Stegostoma tigrinum: one gene and its partner. The protein of the gene in region 1 binds, or shares a complex with, the protein of each later gene. Links are inferred from orthologs where the notes say so. Each region holds a gene or a part of one and is shown on either strand. Other genes may lie near its edges.

The links.
Region 2: the proteins of cstf3 (region 1) and cstf1 are in contact, whole or in part, in a crystal structure (PDB 6B3X), measured with the Homo sapiens proteins. The link is inferred for Stegostoma tigrinum from reciprocal best matches to the Homo sapiens genes CSTF3 and CSTF1. Residues at the interface, in NP_001317.1 of Homo sapiens: Tyr581, Pro582, Lys583, Pro584, Asp585, Thr586, Gln588, Met589, Ile590, Pro591, Phe592, Pro594; in NP_001028693.1 of Homo sapiens: Arg118, Glu216, Ala217, His226, Pro227, Ser228, Asp230, Phe231, Thr240, Arg242, Leu243, Tyr244, Cys251, Phe252, Val253, Ser254, Cys255, Tyr270, Ser272, Ser273, Ala274, Asn275, Gly291, Val292, Ser293, Asn294.

What each region holds. Positions count from the first base shown.
Region 1 is NC_081370.1:44,177,503-44,187,513, forward strand, and holds the start of cstf3 (cleavage stimulation factor subunit 3), read right to left. Parts: upstream 4,509-10,011; 5' UTR 4,438-4,508; coding exon 4,399-4,437; intron 1-4,398. UniProt on the Homo sapiens protein: One of the multiple factors required for polyadenylation and 3'-end cleavage of mammalian pre-mRNAs.
Region 2 is NC_081372.1:55,104,984-55,115,288, reverse strand, and holds the start of cstf1 (cleavage stimulation factor subunit 1), read left to right. Parts: upstream 1-6,278; 5' UTR 6,279-6,587; exon of another isoform or gene 6,588-6,656; intron 6,657-7,871; exon of another isoform or gene 7,872-7,876; coding exon of another isoform or gene 7,877-9,061; exon of another isoform or gene 9,062-9,088; intron 9,089-10,305. Other genes in the region: acyl-coenzyme A diphosphatase NUDT19-like, read left to right, coding at 7,877-9,061. UniProt on the Homo sapiens protein: One of the multiple factors required for polyadenylation and 3'-end cleavage of mammalian pre-mRNAs. May be responsible for the interaction of CSTF with other factors to form a stable complex on the pre-mRNA.

The DNA of each region.
Region 1 (10,011 bases):
CCATGTCAAATGACAAATGGTTAGTAGCAATTGCATAAGTTTGGATAGGATGGTAGCAACCATTTTCTGCTACATTATCACTGATGAGATTACTATCAAATATACATTTACTCAACATAAACTGGGCAGTAGTTTAATAAAGACAGTGTTAGTGCAACATCTAGACTTATCAGTATATTTGTAAAATCAAGAATTAACAGCTTCCAATTACCACTGCTCGTAAATTCTATTTCAGACACTGAAAGTAAAGTGTCTGCTGAGAAAATCATTCCTGGATTTTCGCTTTCATTCTCCTGAAATTGAGTTGAATTTACCTCCATCTAGTACATGGATTTTTTTTTCCTCTGTAGAAGTTCCTGTAGGTTAATAACTATTATATTCCTCTCTTCCTGGTTTGTTATCACCTGCTGGTATATTAAACCTTTCAAATGCTAATGTGAATACATATAAATAATTTGTTGACTGGCAGAGAAATTTAAACTGCTGCACACAATAATTCCAGATTAAAATTTACCAAAATTGCAATATAATTGCAACTTGTTTAAAGAGTTGCTATCCTGGGCCACTTGTCAAAGCGTCTCTATCAACACCGTTTGATATCAATAAACTGAGTAAAAAGACTTCTTTTCACTCAATCACATGTGATAGAAAACTAGACAGAGTCCACAAAATGATTTTCTTGGCAACACCAGCAAGTAATTCTTGCTTCTTCAGACAAGATGTATTTGCATTCAAAGGTGGTTAATCTCTTAAAATTGTACGTTTCTACTTGTTATCTGGAACCACTGTTCTACGAATTTTGCCAGCACATTCCTGGAGTTTTTCCTCCAGATTTGTCAGTCCAATCTTAAACAATTTTGAATCATTGTTTTAGAGGTGATTTTCTGGTCCTACCCCCCTCATTTTATTTATCATCAAATGACTGGAAGATGAGGGTGTAAAACTATCATTCGATGCATGTCTTAAAAACTGTGGTATCTCAAGATAATCTTGCCTTTCGAAGTCACACCAATTCACTTGTCCTAAAAATATCAAAATGTGTTAAAATTTGACAGGAATACCAACTGATAACGCAACAAGCTTAATACATACATCTGGCCACATGCTTTCAATTTGTGATCTATGAACTTGACTTACACTAAGTGGAAAAGGAGCCAGTTAAGTCTTAAAATTTCCTATTTTGTACACTAAATATTAGCTCATACTTGCTGTCACTTTTAAGCTCAAAAACATTTAGGAATAGATTGTCACTATTTGATAGCTGACAGTCTTCTAATAGAAAGCAAGTCAATGGTATTGCAGCTTTTGTCTTTCAAGAAATGTGATAATTAATATATCTAGCAGATTCTCATGTCACTGCTCACTATGAACAGAATGACCTATAGTCAGGATTATACCATGTTCCAGACAAGGCACAGCTAAAATGGAGCAATATGCATCCAGCATGCCCTGAGATGTTAGAAACATTATTTAAACTGAACAGCATTTAAAGAACCGATTCACTATATTTAGCTCCAAAGATTAGCAGTTGTGCAAATCCTTTGCACCACTGGAAGTGAAATATTTTCACTTTCTTTTAAAAGGCAGTAAAACAACTTAACTAATTTAGAGAACAAAATCCCTTCTAAAAATCCTCTTTTGTAAGATGTTAGCACCACTGGCAAAGTATCTACCAAGCATCTCTGATTATCCTTGGAACAAATGGCTTGCTGGGCCTTTCAGAGTACTGAAATGCTAACTACATCACTGTAGATGTGGAGACACATTTGCCATCCTTACCCTGGTCTGGCCCACATTTTCTCTTCTAAAAAAAGTACTAGTAAACCAAGATAATAAAATGTGAGGCTGGATGAACACAGCAGGCCAAGCAGCATCTCAGGAGCACAAAAGCTTTTGTGCTCCTGAGATGCTGCTTGGCCTGCTGTGTTCATCCAGCCTCACATTTTATTATCTTGGATTCTCCAGCATCTGCAGTTCCCATTATCTCTGATACTAGTAAACCAAGCAGTGTTTTACAAGATTGAAGTGTGGTCTTGTAGTATCCACAGCGTGGCTTAATTCCAAATTTGTCTGTTGAATTTAAATCCCACCAGCTACCGGGGCAGTTCCCCTGAGCAGCAGTCTGTGACCCCCTGAATTACCGCTCCAGTTACATCACCACTATGTCACTTTTCCCAAGCCTCCAAAAATTATTTACATATATTCATAACTGAATAGTTAATTCAAATATCCCAATGTAAGATTAACAAGATCCTGAAGCAGGATTGGACCAGTTACAATAAATTGTAATGATACAAAAGGGAAAGAAAATGTTAGCTGTTAATCAGAACTCGAAACCATATCTCCTGAGTGCAAACTGATTTGCAGCCCCATAGCCACACCATCTATACATGGACCCAGCTACTGTTATCTCTGTTAACATCCCCAAGTGCAATGATGTACTCAATGCTCACCTAGCAACTTATATCTAACCAAATTCAGTGCAACCAAAATTCTGGCTGCCATTATCCTAGCAATTCGTCACCATACATCATCCTAATCCCCGATACTGTAAACCCATTTTCAGGGCCCAAAATATCAAATAAGATAGTAGGAACTGCAGATGCTGGAGAATCTGAGATAACAAGGTGTAGAAGTGGATGAACACAGCAGGCACTCCTTCAAAATGCCTTAACACACCAGACCAAAGTTTCCAATCCTCCCTAATAATCTCTAGATAGAGGCTACAAGCTGCCCAGGATGGACATGCTATGCAGGGGGTGGGGTGCAAGTGGTTTGCGACTGGAAGGTGTTGTGGTCTGTTGTAAACCGAGCGCGACAAACAACAACCCCTTCCAGTCGCAAACCACTTCACCTCCCCAACCGACTCCCTGGACGGCATGTCCATCCTAGCCCTCCTCCAGCGTCACAACACCACCACCACCACCCAGAAACTGGAGGAGCAGCACCTCATATTCCACCTTGGGAGACTGCCACTCAATGGCCTCAACGTGACCTTTACTGGCTTCAAAATCTCCCCATCCCCTGTCTCGTCCCAAGACCAACCCACCCCTCTCATCTTTGCCTCCTTGATCTGAGACAACCTGTTCGTCTGGTCTCCCACCTATCTGCTCCTCCCACCTCACTGACCAATCCCCATCACTGCCTAGCTGCACTCACCTACCTTCCCCAGCCCAAACGCCACCTTTATTTTACAACCCCCTTCCCCTCCATTTTTGGAGAAGGGTCCTGACTAGAAACGTCAGGTTTTCCTTCCTCTGATGCTGCCTGGGCTGCTGTGACCCTCCAGCTCCACAACTATCATCTCAGACTTCAGCATCGGAAGTTTTACCATCTTTCCAACAGTGTAGTCGAGAACTACATCCAACTGTAGTCTAACTAGAGTTATACAGTTGAAGCATAATCTCCCAGTTTATGCTTGATACCCTGGTTTAGAAAGGCAAGTACCCATATGTGGCCTTGACCACTTTATCTGTCAGGGACCTGTGCAGACTCCCAATACTTTTATTTTCTTCTACACTTTCAAGTACCCTTTCACGTAGTGTGTAAACAGGGAGTATGTGGGAACAGCGTACTGAAAAAAATGCTGGTGATCACAGCAGGTCAGGCAGCATCCATGGAGATAGCAAGCTAACAGTACAAGTCCAGATAACTCTTCAGAGTACAGTGTGGGATCATTCGCCATTGTTCTACAGGTCACTCACCCAGAAACATTAACTGGCAGACCTGCTGAGCTTTTCCAGCAACTTCTGTTTTTGTTCCTGATTTACTGCATCTGCAGTTCTTTCAGTTTTTATTTTGTAATGGAACAGCCACAATGGGCAGAAGGGTCTCTTCCTGTTCTGTGGATCTCTATGACTACTGTACAGAGCAAGCTCAAGGAACTCTGACCTACTCATGCTCATATTTTCTTTTCTGGGTACTTCCTTGTGGTGTCAGCTTTTCCTAAAATCATTAACTCACTTGTACCCCTACATCTACATTGTGGGCCAGTGGTTAGTACTGCTGCCTCACAACGCCAGGTATCCAGGTTCGATTCCACCCTCAAACGACTGTCCGTGTGGAGTTTGCACGTTCTCGTGTCTGCATGGATTTCCTCGGTTTCCTCCCACAGTCCAATGTCACGTAGGCTAGGTGGACTGCCCAGGCTAAGTTGCCCATACTGTTCAGGGATGTGTAGATTGGGTGGATTATAGGGGGATGGTGTGGACTTGTTGGGCCAAAGGGCCTGTTTCCACACTGTAGGGATTCAATGATGATAGTGATTTACACATTAGCCAAACGTTTGTTATTATTGCAGATCACAACTTGCTGCCTTGTATTAATACTAATAGAAATAGCTTAAGACACAAGATACAGTAGGTTTATAAAAGAACAATGACCACATGTACTCCTAACCTGAATGTGCGACGTTAACTGGTTCCAAGTACAAGCCATGAGAAACAGACTAGGAACTGTGTTTCCTAAACGCAATGTGTCAATTTCATTGAAAACAGAAATTTGCCATACGAATTTACAACAGTGTCTGGGATGGCAACCGAAACTTGTCAGGTGATTTCAGCTCAGCCTCTGGAATAGCTCCACGTGTTGAATAAACATACCGCTCCGAACGTAACAAAGGTGGAATTTCGAATAAAAAAAGTTACCAAAACGGGTGCCAAAGTAAGGCATCCTGAAGGAAAGGAAATTCACGAACGTAATTGGGGAAAAAAGAAAACAAGATACTCCAGAAGAAATTTTTACAGTAAGAGAATGAAATACTTTTTTTTCACGTGCAGTTCCAAAAAGGGGTTAATCTTGCAGTGTTTTAGCGGCATGGTTTAAAAAGAATTCGCAAAATCCCGGCCTAAATGCCTTAATTGCTGGGCGTTATCATAACTGGTGGAAGGAGACCGGGAATTAAGGGTTGTGAAGGTTAACAAGTTATGCAGCTTTCCTTCCCGTCTTTGAAAAGAAAATGCAGGTCCTGGTCCGCCATCTTAACCTCGCACGGCAGCACAAGACATAAAACGCAACGGGGGGGGGGGGGGTGTTGTAGACTAAAAAACACTTCTGCGAAAGGTAAATCACTACGAACTGCTACTACAACCCGATACTTCAGTTTCCACCTCCCCTTTCAGTGCCCCTCCACCACCCCTCCGCGCCAACAACTTCAACTGAATCCGGCCTACCTGCTCCGCATTTCCTTCGCCAGACATTGTATGATTTTTAAATAAAAATATTGATTTAAAAACCACCAAACTAATTTACGCGGGTAAATGTCGTTCAAGTACGTGCAGAGCTGGCCCTGTCAAACTAAAAATCCCACTTTTCTCTCTTTTTCCCTCCCTTTAAACTCAACAATGCTCCAAACCCTTCCTATCACCACCTCCTCCTCCTCCACCAGCGCTGCCTCAGCGCTTCACAAAATGGCGGCGATCGGCCAACGAAAGCGCAGCCGTTGGCGCGGAGGCGCATGCGCATTATCCATTCGCTCTCCTGCTCTGTCGTTAGCTTTGCGCTCACGCTCGACCTAATCATCTTCACGCGATAGGGAAAATGAATTGTTGGAAATAGTCTCGGTATACTATTGAATAGATTATATTTTTGATTAGAGGTCATAAAAGGTTAAGTTAATCAGAAACTGCCTTCCGATCATATGGGGCACAGTGATAAAGGGAAGGAACAGGAAATTCCAGAGGATTTGAGGCAACTTTTTTTCACCCCCCCGCCAGGTTGGTGGGTGTCTGAAACTCACCGCCTGAAAGGGTAGTAGAAGCGAGAACCCACAGGATATTTGAGAAATGTTTGGAAAATACTTGAAACATTATAGTATACACGGCTATGGGCCAAGAGTTGGAAAAGAAGCGTCCCGACCCGAAGCGTCAACTTTCCTGTTCCTGGCCCACTGTGTTCCTCCAGCTTCACACTGTGCTATCTTAGAACAGCTGGGAGTTAGATAACTGGTGCAAACTGATTTAGGGCTTTATCTCATGCTGTAAAAACACTGAAACCATAAAATAAAATTCAAAGACAGTGAAAGTGCTGGAGAAACTCACGTTTGGTAACATCTAAATAAAAGCCGAAAGAACTGTGGATGCTGTAAATCAGAAACAAAAACAAACTGCTAGAAAATCTCAGGGATAATGGGAACTGCAGATGCTGGAGAATCCGCGATAAGAAGGTGTGGAGCTGGATGAAGGGTCTAGGCCCAAAACGTTGGCTTTCCTGCTCCTAAGATGCTGCTTGGCCTGCTGTGTTCATCCAGCTCCACCCCTGTTATCTTGCTAAAAAAGCTCAGCAGGTTTGGCGGCATCTGTGGAGAGAAATCAGAGTTAACGTTTAGGATTTTCAGAACTGAATTGATTCCGATTTCTCTCTACAGATGCTTCCAGGCCTGGTGAGCTTTTCCAGCAATTTCTTATGTTTGTTTCTGGTAGCATCTGATTGGTAGAGGGGCAAGGTGCACAGTGGCTCAGTGTTTAGCATAGCTACCTTACTGTGCCAGGGACACTGGTGTGATTCAACCCTTGGGCAACTGCACAATCTCCCTATGTCTGTGGGGGTTTCCTCCAGATACTACAGTTCCCTCCCATAGTCCAAAGATGTACAACTTAGGTGAAATTGCCATGCTAAATTGCCCATCGTTTCCAGGATGTGCAGGCTAGATGGATTAGCCAATATAAATGCAGGGTTACAGTGATAGGATCGGGGGGGGGGGGGGGGTGTCTGAGTCTGAGTGGTATGTTCTTTGTAGGGTTGATGTGGACTTGATGGCTTGCTTCGGAGCAAATTACTGCAGATGGTAGAATCTGTACTGAAAACAAAAAAAATGCTGGAGATCACAGCAGAGATAATGGGAACTGCAGATGCTGGAGAATCCAAGACAAGACAATAAAGTGTGAAGCTGGATGAACACAGCAGGCCAAGCAGCATCTCAGGAGCACAAAAGCTGACGTTTCGGGCCTAGACCCTTCATCAGAGCGGGGAATGGGTGAGGGTTCTGGAATAATTAGGGAGAGAGGAGGAGGTGGACCGAAGATGGTGAGAAAAGAAGATAGGTGGAGAGGAGAGTGTGGGGGGGGAGGTAGGGAGGGGATAGGTCAGTCCAGGGAAGACGGACAGGTCAAGGAGGTGGGATGAGGTTAGTAGGTAGGAAATGGAGGTGTGGCTTGGGGTGGGAGGAAGGGATGGGTGAGAGGAAGAACAGGTTAAGGAGGCCGAGACAGGCTGGGCTGGTTTTGGGATGCAGTGGGGGAGGGGATGAGCTGGGCTGGTTGTGTGATGCAGTGGGGGGAGGGGACCAACGGGGCTGGTTTTGGGATGCGGTGGGGGAAGGGGAGATTTTGAAGCTGGTGAAGTCCACATTGATACCATTGGGCTGCAAGGTTCCCAAGTGGAATATGAGTTGCTGTACCATTGGGCTGCATGTATCATGGGCTTCCTGCAGTGCCACAATGATGCCACCCGAAGGTTGCAGGAACAGCAACTCATATTCCGCTTGGGAACCCTGCAGCCCAAAGGTATCAATGTGGACTTCACCAGCTTCTAAATCTCCCCTTCCCTCACTGCATCCCAAAACCAGCCCAGCTCTTCCCTCCACCCACTGCATCCCAAAACCAGCCCAACCTGTCTCTGCCTCCCTAACCTATTCTTCCTCTCACCCATCCCTTCCTCCCACCCCAAGCTGCACCTCCATTTCCTACCTACTAACCTCATCCCACCTCCTTGACCTGTCCGTCTTCCCTGGACTGACCTATCCCCTCCCTACCTCCCCACCTATACTCTCCTCTCCACCTATCTTTTCTCTCCATCTTCGGTCTGCCTCCCCCTCTCTCCCTATTTATTCCAGAACCCTCACCCCACCCCCCCTCTCGGATGAACAGTCTAGGCCCGAAACGCCAGCTTTTGTGCTCCTGAGATGCTGCTTGACCTGCTGTGTTCATCCAGCTTCATACTTTATTATCTTGGAGATCACAGGTCAGGCAGCTTCCATGGAGAGGAAGCAAGCTAACATGTTGTGTCTAAATGACTGTTCACCAGAGCTAATGTGAAGTGTGATGACAGTCGCATTTATGCAGTAGTGGGGAACAGGGGTAGTGCTGGGGACAAAGGATGTTGATAGCTCAGATTAAGTTATTGGAATGTGAGAAAAGGAGAACAATAGTGTGTCTAATTGCAAGATTGAAAAGAACAGACAGTTCCACTAGGGTTGGGGTGGGGGGGGGGAGGGAAGAGACAACATGGTTGTAGAGAATGTAAAAGTAAAGCTAAAAGCAAGGAATGGGAGTGGGTGCATTGTTTGCAAGTATTGAACTCAATATTAAGTCCAAAAGATTGTAACGTACCTAGTCTGACAATGAGATATTGTTCCACCAGTTTGCTCTGTGATTCACTAAAGCATTCAAGATCTGTGGCTGGAAAACAGTAAACAGTCAGATATCACTCTTCACTTTATATTTTTATTTGAAGCATCTGCATTCTTAACCTTTTAAAAGTTATAGAGTCATACAGCACGGAAACAGACCCATCAGTCCAAATTGTCCAGCCTATAGCAGGTGAGGACCTAGAAACAATCATTATCACTAAGGAGGCAGTGCTGGGCAAGCTAATGGGGCTAAAGGTAGACAAGTCTCCTGGCCCTGATGAAATGCATCCCAGGGTATTAAAAGAAGTGATGGGGGAAATAGCAAATGCACTAGTAATTATATACCAAAATTCACTGGACTCTGGGGTAGTTCCCGCAGATTGGAAAACAGCTAATGTGATGCCACTGTTTAAAAAAAGGAAGTAGACAAAAAGCAGATAACTGTAGGCCAGTTAGCTTAACTTCGGTAGGGGGGAAGATGCTTGAATCTATCATTAAGGAAGAAATAGCAAGACATCTGGATACAAATTCTCCCATTGGGAACACCCAGCATGCGTTCATTAAGGTCATGTTTAACTAATTTTGTAGAATTCTTTGAGGACATTACTTACGCGGTGGACAATGGGAAACCTGTGGATGTCGTGTATCTGGATTTCCAGAAGGCATTTGACAAGGTGCCACACCAAAGGCTACTACATAAGATAAAGTTGCATGGTATTACAGGTAGTGTATTGGCATGGATAGAGGATTGGTTGACTAAGAAAGCAAAGAGTAGGGGCAAATATGTGTTTTTCCGGTTGGCGGTCAGTGGCTAGTGGTGTGCCTCAGAGATCAGTGTTGGGACCACAATCGTTTACAATTTACATGGATGATTTGGAGTTGGTGACCAAGTGTGGAGTGTCAAAATATGCAGATGACACTAAGATGAGTGGGAGAGCAAAGTGTGCAGAAGACACTGGAAGTCTGCAGCAGGAAATAAATAGTCTAAGTGAGTGAGCAAAGGTCTGGCAGATGGAATACAATGTTGATAAGTGTGAGGTCATCCATTTTGGTAGAAATAACAGCAAAATGGATTATGTTTTAAATGGTAAAAAATTGCAACATGCTGCTTTGCAGAGGTACTTGAGTGTCCTTGCGCATGAATTGCTAAAAGTAGGATTGTAGGTGCAGCAGGTAATTAAAAAGGCAAATGGAATTTTGTCTGTTATTGCTAGAGGGATGGAATTGAAAAACAGGGAGTCTATGCTGCAGCTGTATAGGGTGCTGGTGAGGCCACATCCGGAGTACTTGCAGTTTTGGCCACATATGGACTACCTGCATTTTGGTCTCCTTACTTGACAAGGGACATACTAGCACTGAAGGGGGTGCAGAGGAGATGCACTCAGTTGATTCCAGAGTTGAGAGGGTTGGATTATGAGGAGAGACTGAGTAGACTGGGTTTGGAATTCAGAAGAATGAGGGGAGATCTTATAGAAACATAGAAGATTATGAAGGGAATAGATAAGGTGGAGGCAGGGATGTTGTTTCCATTAGCAGGTGAAACTAGGACTACGGGGCATAGCCTCAAAATAAAGGGAAGCAGATGTAGGACTGAGGTCAGGAGGAACTTATTCACCCAAAGGGTTGTGAATCTGTGGAATTCCCTACGCAGTGAAGCGGTTGAA
Region 2 (10,305 bases), on another chromosome or scaffold:
GTGAAGCTGTACAAAACTCTGGTGCGGCCGCACTTGGAGTATTGTGTACAGTTCTGGTCACTTCATTATAAGACGGATGTGGAAGCTTTAGAAAGGGTGCAGAGGAGATTTACCAGGATGTTGCCTGGTATGGAGGGAAGCTCTTACGAGAAAAGGCTGAGGGACTTGAGACTGTTTTCATTAGAGAGAAGAAGGTTGAGAGGTGACTTAATTGAAACCTATAAAATAATCAGAGGGTTAGATAGGGTGGATAGGGAGGGCCTTTTTCCTAGGATGGTGACGGCGAGCACGAAGGGGCATAGCTTTAAATTGAGGGGTGAAAGATATAAGACAGATGTCAGAGGTAGTTTCTTTACTCAGAGAGTAGTAAGGGAATGGAACGCTTTGCCTGCAACGGTAGTAGATTCGCCAACTTTAGGTACATTTAAGTCGTCATTGGATAAGCATATGGACGTACATGGAATAGTGTAGGTTAGATGAGCTTGAGATCGGTATGACAGGTCGGCACAACATCGAGGTCCGAAGGGCCTGTACTGTGCTGTAATGTTCTATATTCTATGTTCTATGTTCTAATACTGGTGTTGTAACTGGACTGGAATGGCTTAGCAAGGGGTGTGGCCAGTTTTGGCACATAAGTCTTCAATGTTATCAAGGCCCATAGCTTTTGCAGTATCCAATGCCTTCGCCTGTTTCTTGATATCATGTGGAGTGAATTGAATGAGTTGAAGGTTGTCATCCATGATTCTGGGGACCTCAGAAGGAGGCCCAAATGGAAAATCACTTTGACACTTCTGGCTGAAGATGCTTTCTGGGTTTCAGTGTTGTCTTTTTCTTCCAGCATTGATGTGTTGGCCTCCCCCCGTTATTGAAAGTGGGGATATTTGTGGAGTTTGCTCCTTGAGTGAATTGACTGATTGTCCACCACCATTCACCAAAGATTGTTGGAGGACTGCACAGCTTAGTTCTCATTCACTGGTTACAGGATCACTCAGCTCTATCTATCTCATGTGCTTACACTGCTTTGCATGTACAAAGTCCTGAGTAGTAGTTTCACCAGGTTGAGACTGTATTTTAGGTATGCCTGATGCTGTTCCCAGCTTGGCCTCCTGCACAGTTATTGACTGTAGGGTTGATCTGCTGTCTTATTGGTCATGGTTGAGTGGGTAATACACTGGATCGTAAGTTTATAAATTGTAGTTGAATACAGTTCTGCTGCTGCTGATGGTCCACAGCACCTTCTGGATGTCCAGTCTTGAATTTCTAAATCTGTTCAAAATCTATTCTATTCTACACAGTAGTAATGCCAAACAACACAATGGACGTGGTACTTAGTGTGATAGCATGACTTCATCTCCACAAGGTGTGTTCAAGAGTCACTTCTTTTTGTGCAAGGGAAATTGTGTCTCACAAACCTGATTCAGTTTTTTGAGGAAGTAACCAAAAAGATTTATGAGACCAGAGCAGTAGATGTTGTTTAGTTGATCTTTAATAAAGCTTTTGATAAGATTCTTCATGATAGACTAATAAGTAAAGTTGCATCACATGAGATTCAAGGTGAGCTTGCCAATTGGATGCAAAATTGGCTTTATGGCAGGAGACAGTTGGTGGTGGTGGAGGGTTGTTTTTGGACTAGAGGCCAGTGAGCAGCAGTGTTCCACAGGGATTGGTATCGGGTCTACTTCTGTCAATAAATGTGGAGCTGGAAAACCATAGCCAGTCAGACGGCATCTGAGGAGCAGGAAAGTCAACATTTTGGCCGAAACCCTTCATCATTGACTCTCCTGCTCATCAGACGCTGTTTCACCTGCTGTGCTTTTCCAGGCCCACATTTATTGACTCTAGCTTCCAGCATCTGCAGTCCTTACTGTCTCCATTGGGTCCACTTTTGTTTATCATTAATATAAATGATACAAATGAGAATACAGGAGGCCTGGTTAGTAAGTTTACGGATGGCACCAAAATTGGCAGTATAATGAACAATGAGGAAGGTTATCTAAGATTACAAAGAGATCTTGATGAATTGGTACAATGGGCTGTGGAGTGGCAGATGGAGTTTAATTTGTATAAATGCAAGGTATTACATATTGGTGAAACAAACAAAGGCAGGACTTAGAAAATTAATGGCAGAGTAGTGGTATACAACCAAGAGTCCTAGGGGTTCAAGTACATAATTGTTTGAAATTTGTGTCACAGGTAGAAAGGATGGTTAAGAAAGTGTTTAGCATGCCTCCTCTCAATGCTCAGACCTTTGAGTTTAGGAGTTCAGATTTCATGTTTGAGTTGTACAGCACATTGGTAAGGTCTGTTCTGGAGTACTGTGTGCAGCTCTGGTGACTCTGTTATAGGAGGAATATTACTAAATTGGAGAGGATTCAGAAAAGATTTACCAGGATGATGCCAGGAATGGAGGGCTTGAGTTATAGGAAATGCTGGATAGGCTAGAATTTTTTTCACTGTAGTGTGAGAGGTTGAGGGGTGAGAGATTTATAAAACATGAGGGGCATACATAAGGTGAATAGCAAAGGTATTTTCCCTAAGGTGGGGGCATATTTTTAAGGTGACAGTAGAAAGATTTAAAATGGGCACAATAAACAACTTCTCTACACAGAGAGTGGTTAGTATGTGGAGTGAATTGCCAGAGAAAGTGGTGGGTGGAAGTACAGTTACAACGTTTAAAAGACATTTGGATAAGTATATGAATAGGAAATGTTTACAGGGATATGGGCTATTTGCAGGCAGGTGGGACTGGTTTAATTTTGAAACATGGTTGGTACGGACCAGTTGGACTGAAGGGCTGTATACCTCTATGACAAATGCATCTGCTGCAGTTGGAGAAATGACTTCTCTCAAAGGGTTGTGAATTTGTGAAATTCACCATCCCCAGACAGTGGTGGATGCCAGAACATTGAGCAAATTTAAGGAGAAGATACACTGATTTTTAATTAGTAATTGGTTGAAAGGTTACAGAGAGCAAGTGGGAAAGTGGAGTTGAGGCCTACATGAGATCAGCCATGTATTAAAAGAGCAGGCTCATGGGCTGAATTGCCGACTCCTGCTTCTAGTTCTTGTGATTATTGAGGATGAGGTCAAAGTACATCTTTTCTTTTTGTTGGTTCCCTCACCAACTGACACAGGCCCAGTCTACAGACTATGATCTTTAGGACTGGGTCAGTATTTGTGCTACAGAGCCATGCTCGTTGATGGATATTGAAGTTTCCCATCATTCTGTTGCCCTGAATCCCTTGGTGCCTCCTCCAACATGGAGAACTCATTCACCAGCCTTTTTTTGGGTGCAGAGGGGGCTGGAGGGGTGGGTGGCATCATGGATGGCAAACAGCAGATTACCTTCACATGTTTGGCATGATGCCAAAAGACTACTTTGGAATCAATGCTGAAGACTCCAAGGACAACTCTATCCTGACTGTATACCACTGTGCCACCATCTATGATGGTTCTGTCCTGTCAGTGGGACTGGGCATACCAAGGGATGATGGTATTTGGGACATTGTCCTCTGGATATGATTCCATGAACATGACTATGTAAGGTTGTTGTTTGACTATTTTGTGCTTGTCGACTTTTGTAGGACTGCTCCTCCAGCCGTACAGCCTCCCCACTACCCTTCTTATTTCAGCCATTTGTGCATCTCCCTTCAATTAATGCTGTGTCTTCAGCTGCTTACCTGCTGCTCTACCAGCTTCCTCTACTTTGAGTCCCTGCTTGAACCCCATTTCTTCAAGTCAGCTTTTAGTCGCCCTTCCTTTGCTCAGACTTTGTCAAGGTACCTGGTTTCCCTAATGTCAAAAAGCAACTCAGAATCTCTAAAGATTGTAAATTATTATGCGAGCATTGAACTTCACAGAGACAAAATGGAAAGTGAAAAAGGGACAACCCCAATTTTGTATCTACATTTAAGGCAACTGGATAGGAAATTTAATTCTTTTATTATAAATATTATCCTGTTGTAATGCTAGCTGCAACTCTTTCTATTCTTGCAGCATGGTCATCCTGACCCACAGATGGAGTAATGTTTGGTAGTGTGTAGCATGCCAGCTCAGAGATGGGCTGTTTGTATGTTTATTTATTCATTTGTGGGATGTGGACGTTGCCAATTAGCCAGTATTTATTGCCATCTCTACCAGCCCTTGAAAAGGTAGTGGTGAGCTGCCTTCTCGAACCGCTGCAGTCCACCTGCTGTGTGTTGACCCACAATACTATTAGGGAGAAAATTCGAGCATTTTGATCCAACGACAATGAAGGAACAGCAATACACTTCCAAGTTAGGATAGTGAGTGGCTTGGAGGGGAACTTGAAGGTAATGATGCTCCCGGGTATCTGTTGTTTTGTCCTTCTAGATGGAAATGCTTGTGGGTTTGAAGGGTGCTATCTGAGGATTTTTGGTGAATTTCTGTGGTGTGTCTTGTAGATCGTACACATTGCTGCTACTGAGCATCAATGGTGGACAGAATGGATATAGTGCCAATCAAGTGGACTGTTCTTTTTTCCTGTATGGTACCAAGCTTCTTGAGTGTTGTTGGAGCTGCACCACCCAGGCAAGTGGGGAGCATTCCATCAGATTCCTGACTTGTGCCTTGGAGACATTGGACAGGCTTTGGGAGTAGGAGACAGTGGGAGTAGGTGAAATTCACCATCCCCAGACAGTGGTGGATGCCAGAACATTGAGCAAATTTAAGGAGAAGATACACTGATTTTTAATTAGTAATTGGTTGAAAGGTTACAGAGAGCAAGTGGGAAAGTGGAGTTGAGGCCTACATGAGATCAGCCATGTATTAAAAGAGCAGGCTCATGGGCTGAATTGCCTACTCCTGCAGTATTCACCGCAGTATTCCAAGCATCTGACCTGCTCTTGTAGCCACTGTGTTTATGTGGAAAGTCCAGTTGAGTTTCTGGTCAATAGTACCCCCTTGTATGTTGATAGTGGGGGAATTCAATGATGGTAACACCATTGAATGTAAAGGGGCAGTCGTTAGATTCTCTTCTTGGTGTGTCGGTACAATGGAAACAATCTGTCTCTCAACATCGGCAAAGCTAAAGAACTGAAATCAACTTCAGAAAGAAAGTAGGAGAACATGCCCCCCAACTACATCATCGGAACTGAGATTGACAGTGTGAAGAATCAAGTTCCTTAGAGTGATGGTAACTGACAGTCTGTCCTGGACTTTCCATGTAGATGTGGCAGTCAAGAAAGCACAACGATACTTCTTCTTCCTCACTCAGCTCAGGAAAATTGGCATGTTCATAAGGTCCCTCACCAACTTCTACAGATGCACCATCGAAAGCATACTATGTGCAAAACAGCCTGGTCTGGCAACTGATCTGCCCTGGACTGTAGGAAACTACTGAAGGTGATGTGCACAGCACAGTCCAGCTTTTTTTTCCGCCCACTATCAGACTGTTGAATGGACTGTAGCCCCAAATAATGAACCTGGCAATGTAACTTGTATGCCTCTAAGTGTTTTTCATCTGTACATTCCTTTGCTTGCCGTGATTTGTCTGTACCGCTTGTAAACAAAGATTTTCACTGTATTTCAGTACACATGATAATAAAATCTAAATCTAAATCATGTTACTTGCCACTTGTCAGCCCAAGCCTAGATATTGTACAGGACTTGTTTCATTTGAACACAGACTGCTTCAGTATCAGAGAAGTTGTGAATAGTGCTGAACACTGTGCAATTATCAGCGAACATCCCCACTTCTGATTTTATGATGGAGGGAATGTCATTGATGAAGCAGCTGAAGATAGTTGGGCCTAGGGCACTATCCTGAGGAACTCCCGCAGAGATGTACTAGGGCTGACAATAATTGACTTCCAACAATCATGACCTCTTTCTTTGTGCTGGGTATTACTCTAAGCAGCAGAGAGCTTTTCCCCTGATATCTATTGATTCCAATTTTGCTAGGGCTCCTTGATGCCACACTTGGTTAAATGCGGCTTGGATGTCAAAGGCTGTTACTCTCACCTCAGCTTTGCAGACAAAGCTGGAAGAACACAGCAAGCCAGGCAATATCCGAAGAAGGGTTATATCTGAAAAGTTGACTGCTCCTTTCCTCCAGATGCTGCCGGGCTTGCTGTGTTCTTCCAGCCTCCTGTTTGTCTACCTTGGATTCCAGCATGTGCAGATTTTTTATGGTGTCTACAAATTCTTTATATCTACCTCACCAACCCAAAATTCCTGGGTTTTGAGGAGGGCTCAACTGGGCCCAAAATGTTAACTCTACCTTTTCTCCATAGACGCTGAATGAGTTACTGTTTCCCCTGAGCGAGTGGCACGCATTCGCTGTGCGCATGGGCAACGCAGAGTTTGAGCGAGCAGCGGAAGCGGCGTGCCTGGGACCGTGCGCCGGCGCACTCGGTGAGGTAAACTTGGACGTGTCCGTGCGAGCTCAAGAGCAGCATCGCTGTTTTTGCTCATGTTCCGGATCTGTGCACAGCCGCTGAAGACAGGTTGTCAGCTTCGGAAACTTAACGCAACTGTGATCTGGAACCAACCTCGTAACAAAGCGTAAACAAAACGTGTCACGCGTAACGGGCGAAGAGTTGGAATCAGTGTCAGCACTTCAGCCGGTAGGGTATATAACCCCAACATTGCACCCGCTTCCTTTTACATACAAACTACAAGGAAGGGTGGGCACGGTAAGATAAAACCCCGACCCAGGGAAAGGAGAGCCCCGGCCACCCCTCCCCTTTAGGCCCGAAATGTCAGCTTTCCTGCTGTGATGGTGCTTGGCCTGCAGTGTTCATCCAGCTCTACACCTTGTTATTTCAGTCGTGTTAAGGGGCTGGGCACTCGGGAGTACGGCTGCTGGCTGTCATAGAGTGTGGGGGGCATTGAAGAGGGAAACACGGATGTGGTGAAATGAACTGAGTGGGCTAATGGTGGCTTGGGGGTTGAGTTTATCTGAATAATTGCGGTAGGGTTTGTGGGAGCAGAGTGGTGGGTTTGATTGAGGAGGGTGATTTCATTGATGGTGAGAGGTATTTGGGAAAAATCGCATGACGAAACCCAAGGCCTCTGTAGAAGTCCAGAGGAGCTATCCTTGTGGTTCACAAAGAAACAAGTTTTTTTTAAAAAATGTTCAATATTTACCTCGGCCTCGATGGCTATAATCCAATTCCTGGTAACTTTGTTGAAACAGGTAAGCTAGAGGTTCTTCTTTCTTTCGGGCTCCAGGCAATCTCGTAATAAGGTTGCCACAATGTCAAGTGAGAAAGATTGTGACATTGCAGAACGAGTGGAATCAAAGAGGGTGATTTACAATGCACTGCCTTCCAACAATCACGACCTTTTTCTTTGTGCCAGGTATGACTCTAAGCAGCAGAGAGCTATTCCCCTGATATCTATTGATTCCAATTTTGCTAGGGCTCCTTGATGCCACACTTGGTTAAATGCGGCTTGGATGTCAAAGGCTGTTACTCTCACCTCAGCTTTGCAGACAAAGCTGGAAGAACACAGCAAGCCAGGCAATATCTGAAGAAGGGTTATATCTGAGTCCAAGAGTTGAAATCCAATTCAGTGATCAAATTCCCACTAGCACAATTACTGTGTATTATTTTGCTTGGGATTGGGGGATCTTGCAAAGTTGACCACGTGGCGTTATGGGCAGTGTGTTCAGTGGGGATCTTATATGATGTAGGCCTGGGGTTTTTTATGCTTAACAAGGTCTACAAGCTTTCTAGTGAATCTGCTGTTTTTTTAAAAGTTCTTTGGGGAAGATGTGAGCCCCCAGTATTAGAGATTGCTGGGGGGGGGCTGGTTTGAGCAAGATGGCATTGGGGTTGCTAATGAGCTGTAAGAGCTGTACAGAGCCAGCAACAACTAATAAATTAATAGATTGTACCTTTTTGCAGCAAAGATGAACCGAGACTTAAAGTATTGGAAAGAAGCAGCCACTGTCATCTTAACTTCAGGTATTCGAAATTGCTTTGTGGACAAAGGTTCCACCAGTACACAGGCTTGTCAGCCTCCACATTCAGTGTCTAAACAAGAGACAAATGTAATTCACTCATGGTTGGAGATGCCTGTCTTTGATTATGCTGTACTTATGTTACAACGGAGTGCAAAAAGCAGTTTCATGCCTCATGCTCAGGTGTTCCCTGGAGGTACAGTCAGTTCATCTGATTTTTCCAGTGAGTGGATTCAGATGTTTCAGCCCTTTTGCAAGCCACCCAACTTTAAACTAGGTACAGTCAAGCAAACCTCCAAGAGACCTCCAATTCTTGCAATGGACAGGAGAAATCTAGGATCAGAAATCCCTGGAGAAGTAGCTTTCCGTATTTGTGCTATAAGGGAAACCTTTGAAGAATCAGGGATTCTACTTGTGAAGCCAAATGCCTCTGAAACATGTTTGAGCAGCCAAGGGGCCATAAAGCTTCCACAGTACGATCAAAAGGAACTTGCAAATTGGAACCAGCTTGTACGGAAAAATGCAGCAAATTTTGTAGAACTTTGCAAACAGCTGGACTGTGTACCAAATATTTGGGCATTGAAGGAGTGGAGTAATTGGTTAACACCCACGTATATGGAGAGAAAACGTTTTGATACTGTATTCTTCATCTGTTGTTTGCAAGAGATTCCTTTCACAATGCAAGATGGCCATGAAACTATTTCCTACAACTGGATGTCCCCATCTGATTTTATTGAAAGCTGTAATTTGGGGAAACTTTACATCGCTCCCCCACAGTGGTATGAACTGGGCAGACTATGCCAATTACCCCATTTCCAAGATCTGCAACAGTTTTGCCATTATCGGGCATTGGAAGGCTGTGAGCGATGGCTTCCGATCCGTTTCCTTGCTTCTGATGGCTATGCGATTTTGTATCCTGGTGATGAACTTTATCCAGAGGATCCAGATTACACAGGGGAAAAGGAGATGAACTTCACTTCCTCGAAAACTCTGGAACAGCTGAGGTTGGAGGTTACCAGACTACATCGCATGGAACTGAGAGATCAGTATTTTACTCTGTATGTGAATATTGAGCCCCAGTATAAACATATCAAACCACTAATTGTGAACACAAGAGTCTCCAGACATCTGTAAATTCCATTTAACGAATAAACAAAAATACCTGTCAGAAACAGTGTTCTTAAATGATACAGGTTATTTTTGAAGGCAACAATATCAAAAAATAATTAGAATTAGGTTTATTGCCATATGTACTCAAGTACTGGAGTATGGTGAAAATTGTATAAAGTCGCCATTCACTGCACCATCTTAGGTACAAAGGTATCAGAGATAATGGGAACTGCAGATGCTGGAGAATCCAAGATAATGAAGGGTCTAGGCCCGAAACGTCAGCTTTTGTGCTCCTGAGATGCTGCTTGGCCTGTTGTGTTCATCCAGCCTCACATTTTATTATCTTAGGTACAAAGGTACCTAGGTACAAGATAAAAACATAAAGAAATAAGGCAAAAGTACAGCAATTCCATAAATGAAGAACTATTAATCTTTTTGAACATCCTGTTTAAGGGATACATTAAAATACTCTCTAGAAAAGGAAACAAGTATTCTTAGAATATTAAATGTTTAGAGGAACATTCAACAGAGAATCCTGACAGGTATCTAGACACAATACCAGGGAAGATGAGTTGTGGTAATAATGAACTAGGACTCTGATGAAGTGTGAATTGTTGGCTTCAGTATATTATACCTCCCCCAAAACAGGTCCCAATGACTCAGGAATGTAAAAACCTCCCTTCTGCACCATCTGTACATTCACACATTTGTCTGTTATTTGGTATATTCTCATGCAGCAGTTTGCTAACTTGACAGGGAAAGATAACCAGGATGTTTTCTTATTATAAAAAAAACAAGTTATGCAAATGGTTGGAAGAGATAGATGGAACTGAAAGAAAAAATTAAGGTATGAGCTGAAGTCAAGCTATGACAATGCAAATGTCTCAGCTTTACATTGCATGTTTGCAAGGGCACAAGCCATAATAAGCAAGGTTCATGAGCTGTAGGCTCAGGTACTCACATAGGAATATGACATATTGGTGATAAATAGACTTGGCTCAAAAAAGGTAGCAGTGCAAGGCATTCAGCAAATGTAGGAAAGGAAAAGGCGAAGGGTGATAGTATTAGTTAAAGAGAATATTAATGTGCTGGATAGAGGTTGTACTTGTACAAGTTACTGGTTTTGAGAGCTAATGTTTAAGTTGCATGAGCTTCGCGCAATCTAATGTTATTACAAAGTCTTTGAATAGAGAAAGTTAGTTTTGCACAAATTACCAAATAAGTCAAATGTGATATACATAGTTTCTGATTGTTGTAATAATTGCCTA